Sus scrofa: one gene and its partner. The protein of the gene in region 1 purifies or fractionates together with the protein of each later gene. This does not show direct contact. Links are inferred from orthologs where the notes say so. Each region holds a gene or a part of one and is shown on either strand. Other genes may lie near its edges.

What was found.
Region 2: the proteins of LSM14A (region 1) and C1QBP purify together in Homo sapiens (affinity purification with mass spectrometry; 3 studies listed by BioGRID and IntAct, with this or other methods). This does not show direct contact. The link is inferred for Sus scrofa from reciprocal best matches to the Homo sapiens genes LSM14A and C1QBP.

Annotation. Positions count from the first base shown.
Region 1 is NC_010448.4:43,885,852-43,889,412, forward strand, and holds part of LSM14A (protein LSM14 homolog A), read left to right. Parts: intron 1-1,367; coding exon 1,368-1,544; intron 1,545-1,817; coding exon 1,818-1,883; intron 1,884-3,561. UniProt on the Homo sapiens protein: Essential for formation of P-bodies, cytoplasmic structures that provide storage sites for translationally inactive mRNAs and protect them from degradation. Acts as a repressor of mRNA translation. May play a role in mitotic spindle assembly.
Region 2 is NC_010454.4:51,546,917-51,551,193, reverse strand, and holds the start of C1QBP (complement component 1 Q subcomponent-binding protein, mitochondrial), read right to left. Parts: upstream 2,834-4,277; 5' UTR 2,729-2,833; coding exon 2,497-2,728; intron 1,932-2,496; coding exon 1,781-1,931; intron 276-1,780; coding exon 182-275; intron 1-181.

The sequences.
Region 1 (3,561 bases):
TTTTTACCTAAAATGAGCATAATTTTTTTTTAAAGTAAAACTTATTTTGGTACAGTATCATGGAATATGAGAGCACCCTTATCAGAGATTTACAGCAAACATTAGGGACAAAAAACCTGATGTGAACACCCAGTGTTACATTCTTCTGTTCAGGCTCTGACCTCATAAAAGGAAAAATGGAATTTGTAAGTACAAAAATCCATATTAAGCAAAAAACCATGCCAAGAGATTCCTCAAATAGCAAAGAATCTGTACGGCTACTGTGTAATCATATGAAGGATTTATTTGTTGCTGGTATTGATGTTAATTACCCAAGCCTCTAAGGTATTGAAGAGCTTTACCTGACTTTCTAGTTCTTTACTTCCTTTATAATAGAAATTTAATAGAGATAGTACTTAGAGATATAAAGGTATCACCTTAGACATAGCTTCAGAAGGTATTAAAAAAGTTAAAGTCCCTGGAAATAATGGCTAAAGTGTCAATGTAATCTTGTGGTTGTGGTTATTGGGAAAAGCCTATGTCTGACCTGCCTATGTGATCTTTGATACTATTCCTGGGGAATCTTTTACCAGCAGCAGTTTTTTAAAATAGTTACTTAAGCCTTATTCCACCAGGTAGAATTGCAGACAAAGTTAGTTTTTTGTTTGTTTGGGTGGCTTTTTTGTTTGTTTGTTTTTACTAAATCAAGAGAGCAACCCACTAAAGAAAAACGGTTTTAAACTCTGATCTCATGAGTAGATGGATTCAAATTTGTGCTAAGGAAATTCCCGCTGTGGCTCAGTGGATTAAGAACCCAACCAATATCCAGGAGGATGTGGGTTTGATCCCTGGCCTTGATCACTGGGTTAAGGATCCGACATTGCTATGAGTTGCATTGTAGGTAGCACATGTAGCTTGGCTCTGGCATTGCTGTGGCTGAATGTAGGCCGGCAACTGCAGCTCTGATTCAATCCCTAGCCTAGGAACTTCCATATGCCACAGATGCAGCCCTAGCAAAATGGAAAAAAAAAAATTGTGCTAAGGATTTGAATTGGTAGAAATAAAACTTTGGACTTGGAGGGGGGGCATCCCACATCATTTTAAAACCCCCAAAGGATAGGGTAGTTTTTGCTTTTTTCTTTTTTTTCTTTTTCTTTTTGCTTTTTAGGGCCATACTTGTGGCATATGGAGGTTCCCAGGCTAGGGGTCGAATTGGAGCTACAGCTGCTGGCCTGAACCACAACTCACAGCAACGCTGGATCCTTAACCCACTGAGCAAGTGCAGGGATTGAACCCTCATCTTCATGGATCCTGGTCGGGTTTGTTAACCGCTGAGCCACAAAGGGAACCCCAAAAGGGTAGTTTCTTATCTTTTGGTTACATTTTAGGTCGTTCAAGCCCTCAGTTAGACCCTTTGAGAAAAAGCCCAACCATGGAACAAGCAGTACAGACCGCCTCGGCCCACTTACCTGCTCCGGCACCTGTTGGGAGAAGGAGCCCTGTATCAACCAGGCCTTTACCATCTACCAGCCAAAAAGCAATAGAGAATCAAGAGCACAGGCGAGGTAGAGCTTTAGCTATTTACTTTATTAATTGACTAATCAACATCTTCCATTCAATTTATTTTCATTAAAAAGATGTACTTTATGTGAATCATCTCAGACGGTTTAAACTGAACTTGAATGTTCAGTCTTTCAGATTTGACTCAAAATAGTGATGGGGTGGAGGTACAGATTTTTGGTTTTGTTCTGGGTTGGTTGGTTTGTTTTTCCATTTCTGACTTTCCAGTTTTTGATTATGTGTCCTGAATTGATTGTCACTTTCTGTATGTTCTATAGCTGAAGTACATAAAGTTTCAAGACCAGAAAGTGAGCAGCTCAGAAATGATAGCAAGAGACAAATAGGTAAGTTGTTACTTGGATCTGAAAGTCATATCCTGTGCTTCTCAGTAGAGAAAACATTTGAAATGTATGATGCGTGATTACTATAAAAAAAAATAAACAGCAAGGGTTGGTGACTGTAAAGGAGTAGCACAGGGGAGTTTCTTGTGGTTACAGAACAGTTCTGTATCTTGATTGTGTGGTAGTTGTATAGATATGTACATATAGCAAAATGTCATAGAACTGTGTGAAAAGACATGCCAAAAAATGAGTACATGCAGGAGTTTCCACTGTGGCGCAGTGGGTTAAGAATACAACTGTAGCAGCTTGGGTCACTTTGGAGGTGTGGGTTCAATCCCTGGCCCGGCGCAGTGGGTTAAAGGATCCAGTGCTGCCACAGCTATGGCTCTAATTGAGTTCCTGGTCCAGGAACTTGCATTATGCCACAGGTGCTGCCATTTAAAAAAAAAAAAAAAAAAAAGCAAAACTGTTAAAAGTCTAAATATGAGATTTGTGGTGTCGTTAATTATATTGTGCCAGTGTCCTAGTTTTTTAATGTGTTTTTGTTTACTTCGTTTTGGTTGTTTTTGGTTTTTGTTTCTTTTAAATAGTCATACCTGCCCGGGTGTTCCTGGGCCAGGGATTGAATCTGAGCCATATCTGCAACCTGCACCGAAGTTTCAGCAACACTGGATCCTTTAACCCACTGGGCCAGGCCGGGTATCAAATCCATACTTCCACAGTGACCTGATTTGCTTCAGTCAGATTTTTTTTTTTTTAAGGCCGCACTTGCAGCCTATAGAAGTTCTTGAGCTAGGGGTCCAATCAAAGCTGCAGCTGCAGGCTTATGCCACAGCCATACCAACACAGGATCCAAGCTGCATCTGTGATCTTTGACACAGCTTGCAGCAACTCTGAGTCTTTAACCCACTTAGTGAGGCCAGGGATTGAACCTGCATCCTCACGGACTATGTTGGATTCTTAACCCCTGCACAGGAACTTCTGGTTTTTTATTTAATAGTTAAAGAAGATGTTACTATTGGAGGGGAAGCTAGATGATGCACACACAAAACCACTCTGTGCTTTTTATTTTTCAAAAGACTTTTTTTTTTTTTTTTCTTTTTTTTTGTCTTTTCTAGGGCCGCACCGATGGCACATGGAGGTTCCCAGGCTAGGGATCAAATCGGAGCTGTAGCTTCCAGCCTACGCCAGAGCCACAGCATCTCGGGATCTGAGCCACGTCTGCGACCTACACCACAGCTCACGGCAACACCAAATCCTTAACCCACTGAGCAAGGCCAGGGATTGAACCCACAACCTCATGGTTCCTAGTCGGATTCATTTCTGCTATGCCATGACAGGAACTACCCCCCCCCTTTATAAATGGCCGCACTCATGGCATATGGAAGTTCCCAGGCCAGGGATGGAATCTGAGTCATAGCTGTGACCTACGCTGCAGCTGTGGCAACGCCAGTTCCTTTAACCCACTGCACTGGGCTGTGGATCAAACCCACACCTCTACAGTGACATGAGCCACTACAGTTAGATTTTCAACCCAATGAACCACAGTGGGGACTCCATCTCTCTCTCTCTCTCTTTTTTTTTTTTTTTTTTTTTTGTCTTTTTTGTCTTTTCTAGGGCCATATCTGTGGCACATGGAAGTTCCCAAGCTAGGGGTCTAATCGGAGCTATAGCTGCCGGC
Region 2 (4,277 bases), on another chromosome or scaffold:
GCTTAAAGCTGGCTAGAAACTAGTGCTTTATAAGAAAAGGCCCAAGGATGACTGTATTTTGCCTTCTCTCCCCTAGCATTAGAGGACGGGAAACAGCAAAAACCAGGGCTCCTTCTCTAAGCCTCCAGAATGGCCTGTCAGAACAAGGTGGCACAAGCTGGTTCCTGTGCTACAAACCTACCTCCTGTTCCTCAACCTTCTGCCCTTCCGACGGCTGCTCCTCCTCCCCATAGGGGGGTGGGATGCTGTTGTTGATGTTGAAGGTGACAGTGATCCTAGAAAAGCCAAAGAAACACAGAATGTACTTTCAACAGAGTAGTTAAGGCGGGTGCCTGCATCCTACCCACAGCTGGATTCAGCAGGTCTGAGGTGGGCCTACTATGTGCTGCCAGACGGCCGTCAAATAGACCCTAGCTCCTAAGACAGTCATGGTTGGGCCCCTTCCATCAGGTCAGCATCCGGGGCTCAGTGCCAACATGTGTCCACAGCCAGCTAACACTGCTGTCCCAGTCTTCCCAGGACACCCTCTGGTGGTGGTGAACAGCTGAGAAGCTGGGGGCAAAGCCTTTAAAAAGCTGTCCTCCATCAGAAAATCTGCCCCTGGGAGGAAGGAAGAAGGCGTCCTGGAGGGTGGTGGCATGAGCTGAGCATGAGGAGCAGCCAGTGAGGGGAGAGCTCCCAGAGAACAGGCTGCAGGACAGGCTCATTCCTCAGGGCAGTTGCGCGAAGTGTTACAATCACAAAGCAGACTGCAAACATCAAGTAGTGACAATTTTAAGTTAAAAGACTCGCCACCTCATGGTACCTCGTTTCAAAGTTTGAATGATAAACAGATTTGGAATGAGCAGTGCTGGGTGGTGTGCCGCAGTGCGCTGTAGTTCTTCTCCGGGCTGTGCTAACCAGCCGCCTTGTCAGTTTGAGGTTTGAGGTTCAGCCATAAAATTTGTCTAATCTGCAACAGTGCTGACTAAGCTGAGCTCCTGGGCACCAAATTGCAGTTACGTTCATTAGAACATTATTTTTACACTGGCCTTAAACTGCCTATGACTTACCCTAGTCAAGTGGTTTAGGCAAAGTTCCAGAATAACACGATGGATTTATGAAGGGGAAACACACTAACTACACCACCAGGTGAAAAAGAACCAGAATCCTACTTCACAGCACAAACAGAAACCTTTGTTCACCCAGAGTGGATCGCGGACTTAGCTTAACCAAGTGGAAGGCTTCCCACCTCTCTAATGATAACCCTTGCCATACCCCATCCTGCCACTTATCTTCTTTTCTCCACTGTAAACACAGTAGGGGCTTTGTTTTCCTAGCCTGTAACTCAGAGATTCTCTCCTACTGTCAGAATTTCTGAATTTGCATGCCTAGATTTAGGAAAGGCGTGGCCTCCCTCACCAGTAAGGGTTTAGTGAATGATGCCTCTACTGGTCCAACAGACTCCCAGCTACTTGGCTTCTTTCTACTTTCTTACTACCTTCTCATTAACCACCACAGCACATCAGTGTGCAGCGGATGAACGGCCTGGAGCTTGTGAAGTTACCAAAACAAGGCCTCTCAGCTCTCAGAAAGTGTCAAAGTACCTGCCTTAACTAAAGGCTGGTTTTTGGTTTTGTTTTTCCTTTCTGGCCACCCCTTGGCATATGGAGTTTCCAGGTCAGGGATCAGATCTGGGCTGCAGTTGTGACCTACACCGCAGCAACCAACTAAAGGCTGTTTGGGGATGACTCAGGGCAGCTCTTGCAGGGTCATGGAGTCCACAGGCCCCAGTACTTACTTTTCTCCAGCAACTTTCCTCACTAATTTGGCTTCTGTCCCATTCACTTCCAGCTCCCAACCTCCAGACATCTTGGGGAGAGACTTATGCTTCTGTATCTTCTTCTCTTCCTTAATCTCATCATTAAGAAATTCAACAAAAGCTTTGTCCCCTGCAATAGAAATCACTTAGTTACAGAAAAAAGAACCAATCAATCTAAAAGAGAAAAATGACCCAGGTTCCTGTAGGCAGAGATCTGGACTTGAGCTATTTCTAATACTTGTACTATTAGTGGCTCTAGGAACTTAGACCAACCCATATCCATTAGGACTCAGTTTCCCCATCTGTAAAAATGCCGTTAAGTTATCAGTAAGAAGTTGAGCTCGATTCTGTAAAAGTGATTCTCAACAATAAACTTCTTACCACTTTTCAAAACAAAGCAAAAGAATTCGTAACTACCCTACTTCTCTTGCTAACTACCATCACCGCTACTTCTACCCGCGACCTTTGGCTTTCACAAAAATCCATTTTCGAGAGACTAAGCTTAAGTATCTCTCCCCTCACGGGCAATCTCGCGTGGGTTTACCCCGCCTTTCGCCGATCAGTGGGAGATTGTTCCCGACCTCGGGCGCGGCTCCGGTCTGTCCACTTGAGATCTAAACTTCCCCGTCCCGGGTCCCCCTGCTCCACCCAGAACCCGGTCCGTTAAGCTCCCGGCCCACGTGCTCGAGTCTCACCTTCGGTGTGCAGCCCGCCGCAGCCGCAGCCGCAGGCGCAGGGCCCCCGAGGCCGTAGGAGGCTGGGCGGCTGCACCGACCCGGCACGCACGCTCAGGAGCCCGAAGGGCCGGGCGCACAGCCGGGACGCGGGCTGCAGCAGCCGCGGGAGCGGCTGGGAGGGCGCGGCGACGCAAAGGCCGGCGACGGCGGTGCCCAGGGCGCGGGGCACGCAGCGTAGCAGTTGCAGCATTTTGGCAGCGGAGGACACGTGTGGATGCGAAAGACGACTCACTCCAAGAAGGACGACTCCTTCTCACCGCGCCCCCTAGTGATAGGACCGCCGCCGGAAGTCCCGCCCCTGCCAGGGAAGCGCTTCCGCGCTGCCTCTTTGCAGACCGAAGACACCGTGGGCGGGATGGCGCCCTCTGCTGGCGGCCTCCGGTGCTGGACTCGCGTAACTAAATTTTCTTTCCGGAGTCGGCTGAGTTCAATTGTCCAGCATCAGTTCTCTCCAGTGGCTGCTGACACACCCTCTAAACTTCCATCTACTCTTCTCAAGCACAGCCAGGTTTTCTATGACTTCGTGGAATGCATTCTTGCCACCCACAACTCCCAAAGACCAGCCTCCGAGGCCATCTCCCTTAGGAAGCCTTCCTGGAGCTTCCTCCTCTTCCTTGAGACACAGGGACTCATGCCTGTGTGACTCGGCCCCTGGGTTTCATTCTTTTCTTGGCAGAAACCTGGCAATACTGGTTTACCTGGAAGCCACCCCTCACTCCCACCAGGCCTGGCGCTCCTAAGGGCAAGGTCCCTGATCAATTCCTGTGACTCCCCAGCTCTCTCCAACTTTACACCTTAATGTTCCAACAGGACATTATTTTTCTGGGGGCAAAAACCTCACAGCTTACATTAGATTTAGATTAAGAAAACTAATCTTCCTACCTTACCAGGGCACGTAAAATACACAGGGTCATCAAGAAAGTAAGTCTTCCCAAATCAGTGGTGAAAATAAAACAATATATTCCTTTTTTTTTTCCTAGGGCTGCTCCCGCGGCATATGGAGGTTCCCAGGCCAGGGGTCCAATCGGAGCTGGAGCCTCCAGCCTACGCCAGAACCACAGCAATGCGGGATCCAAGCCACGTCTGCAGCCTACACAACAGCTCACGGCAACGCCGGATCCTTAACCCACTGAGCAAGGCCAGGGATCGAACCCGCAACCTCATGGTTCCTAGTCGGATTCGTTAACCACTGGGCCACGACGGGAACTCCTAAAACAATATATTCTAAACAACATTTTGTGAATAAAGGAAAGGACACCCAAGAAAGAAGCCACACACATCACGTCACACACATCACGTACAAGATTCACTTATGGTATGCTTTTTTTTTTAAGGTTCACTTTTAATGGATTTAATAGCTGTGTGCAAATTTGAGCATTATATGCAAGAGCTGATGTTTCTATAGTTATGTCTGATCAAGAACAGACTCTCAAAATACAGCACAAACCCGAACTAGATTTTTGGGGGCTTTTTTCTATAAGTTGTAATATTCTGATCAAATACAATTCTTGCTTCCCCATAGATGCACTGTTTCCTTATATGTTCAAGGGGTGGTACCTCAGATGCCTGGTCATAGTTCTACTCATTTCTGGAGAGCTGGATTCAATGGATTCAGACATCACAGTACATAATCAGTTGGATCCACAAAGGAAAAACTTGTCCTCATTCTGGCATCTCTTTACAACAGAGAGGCAACATTAAGTTAGGATTTTTACCAAGAACTGGGTGTTGGCGCTTTT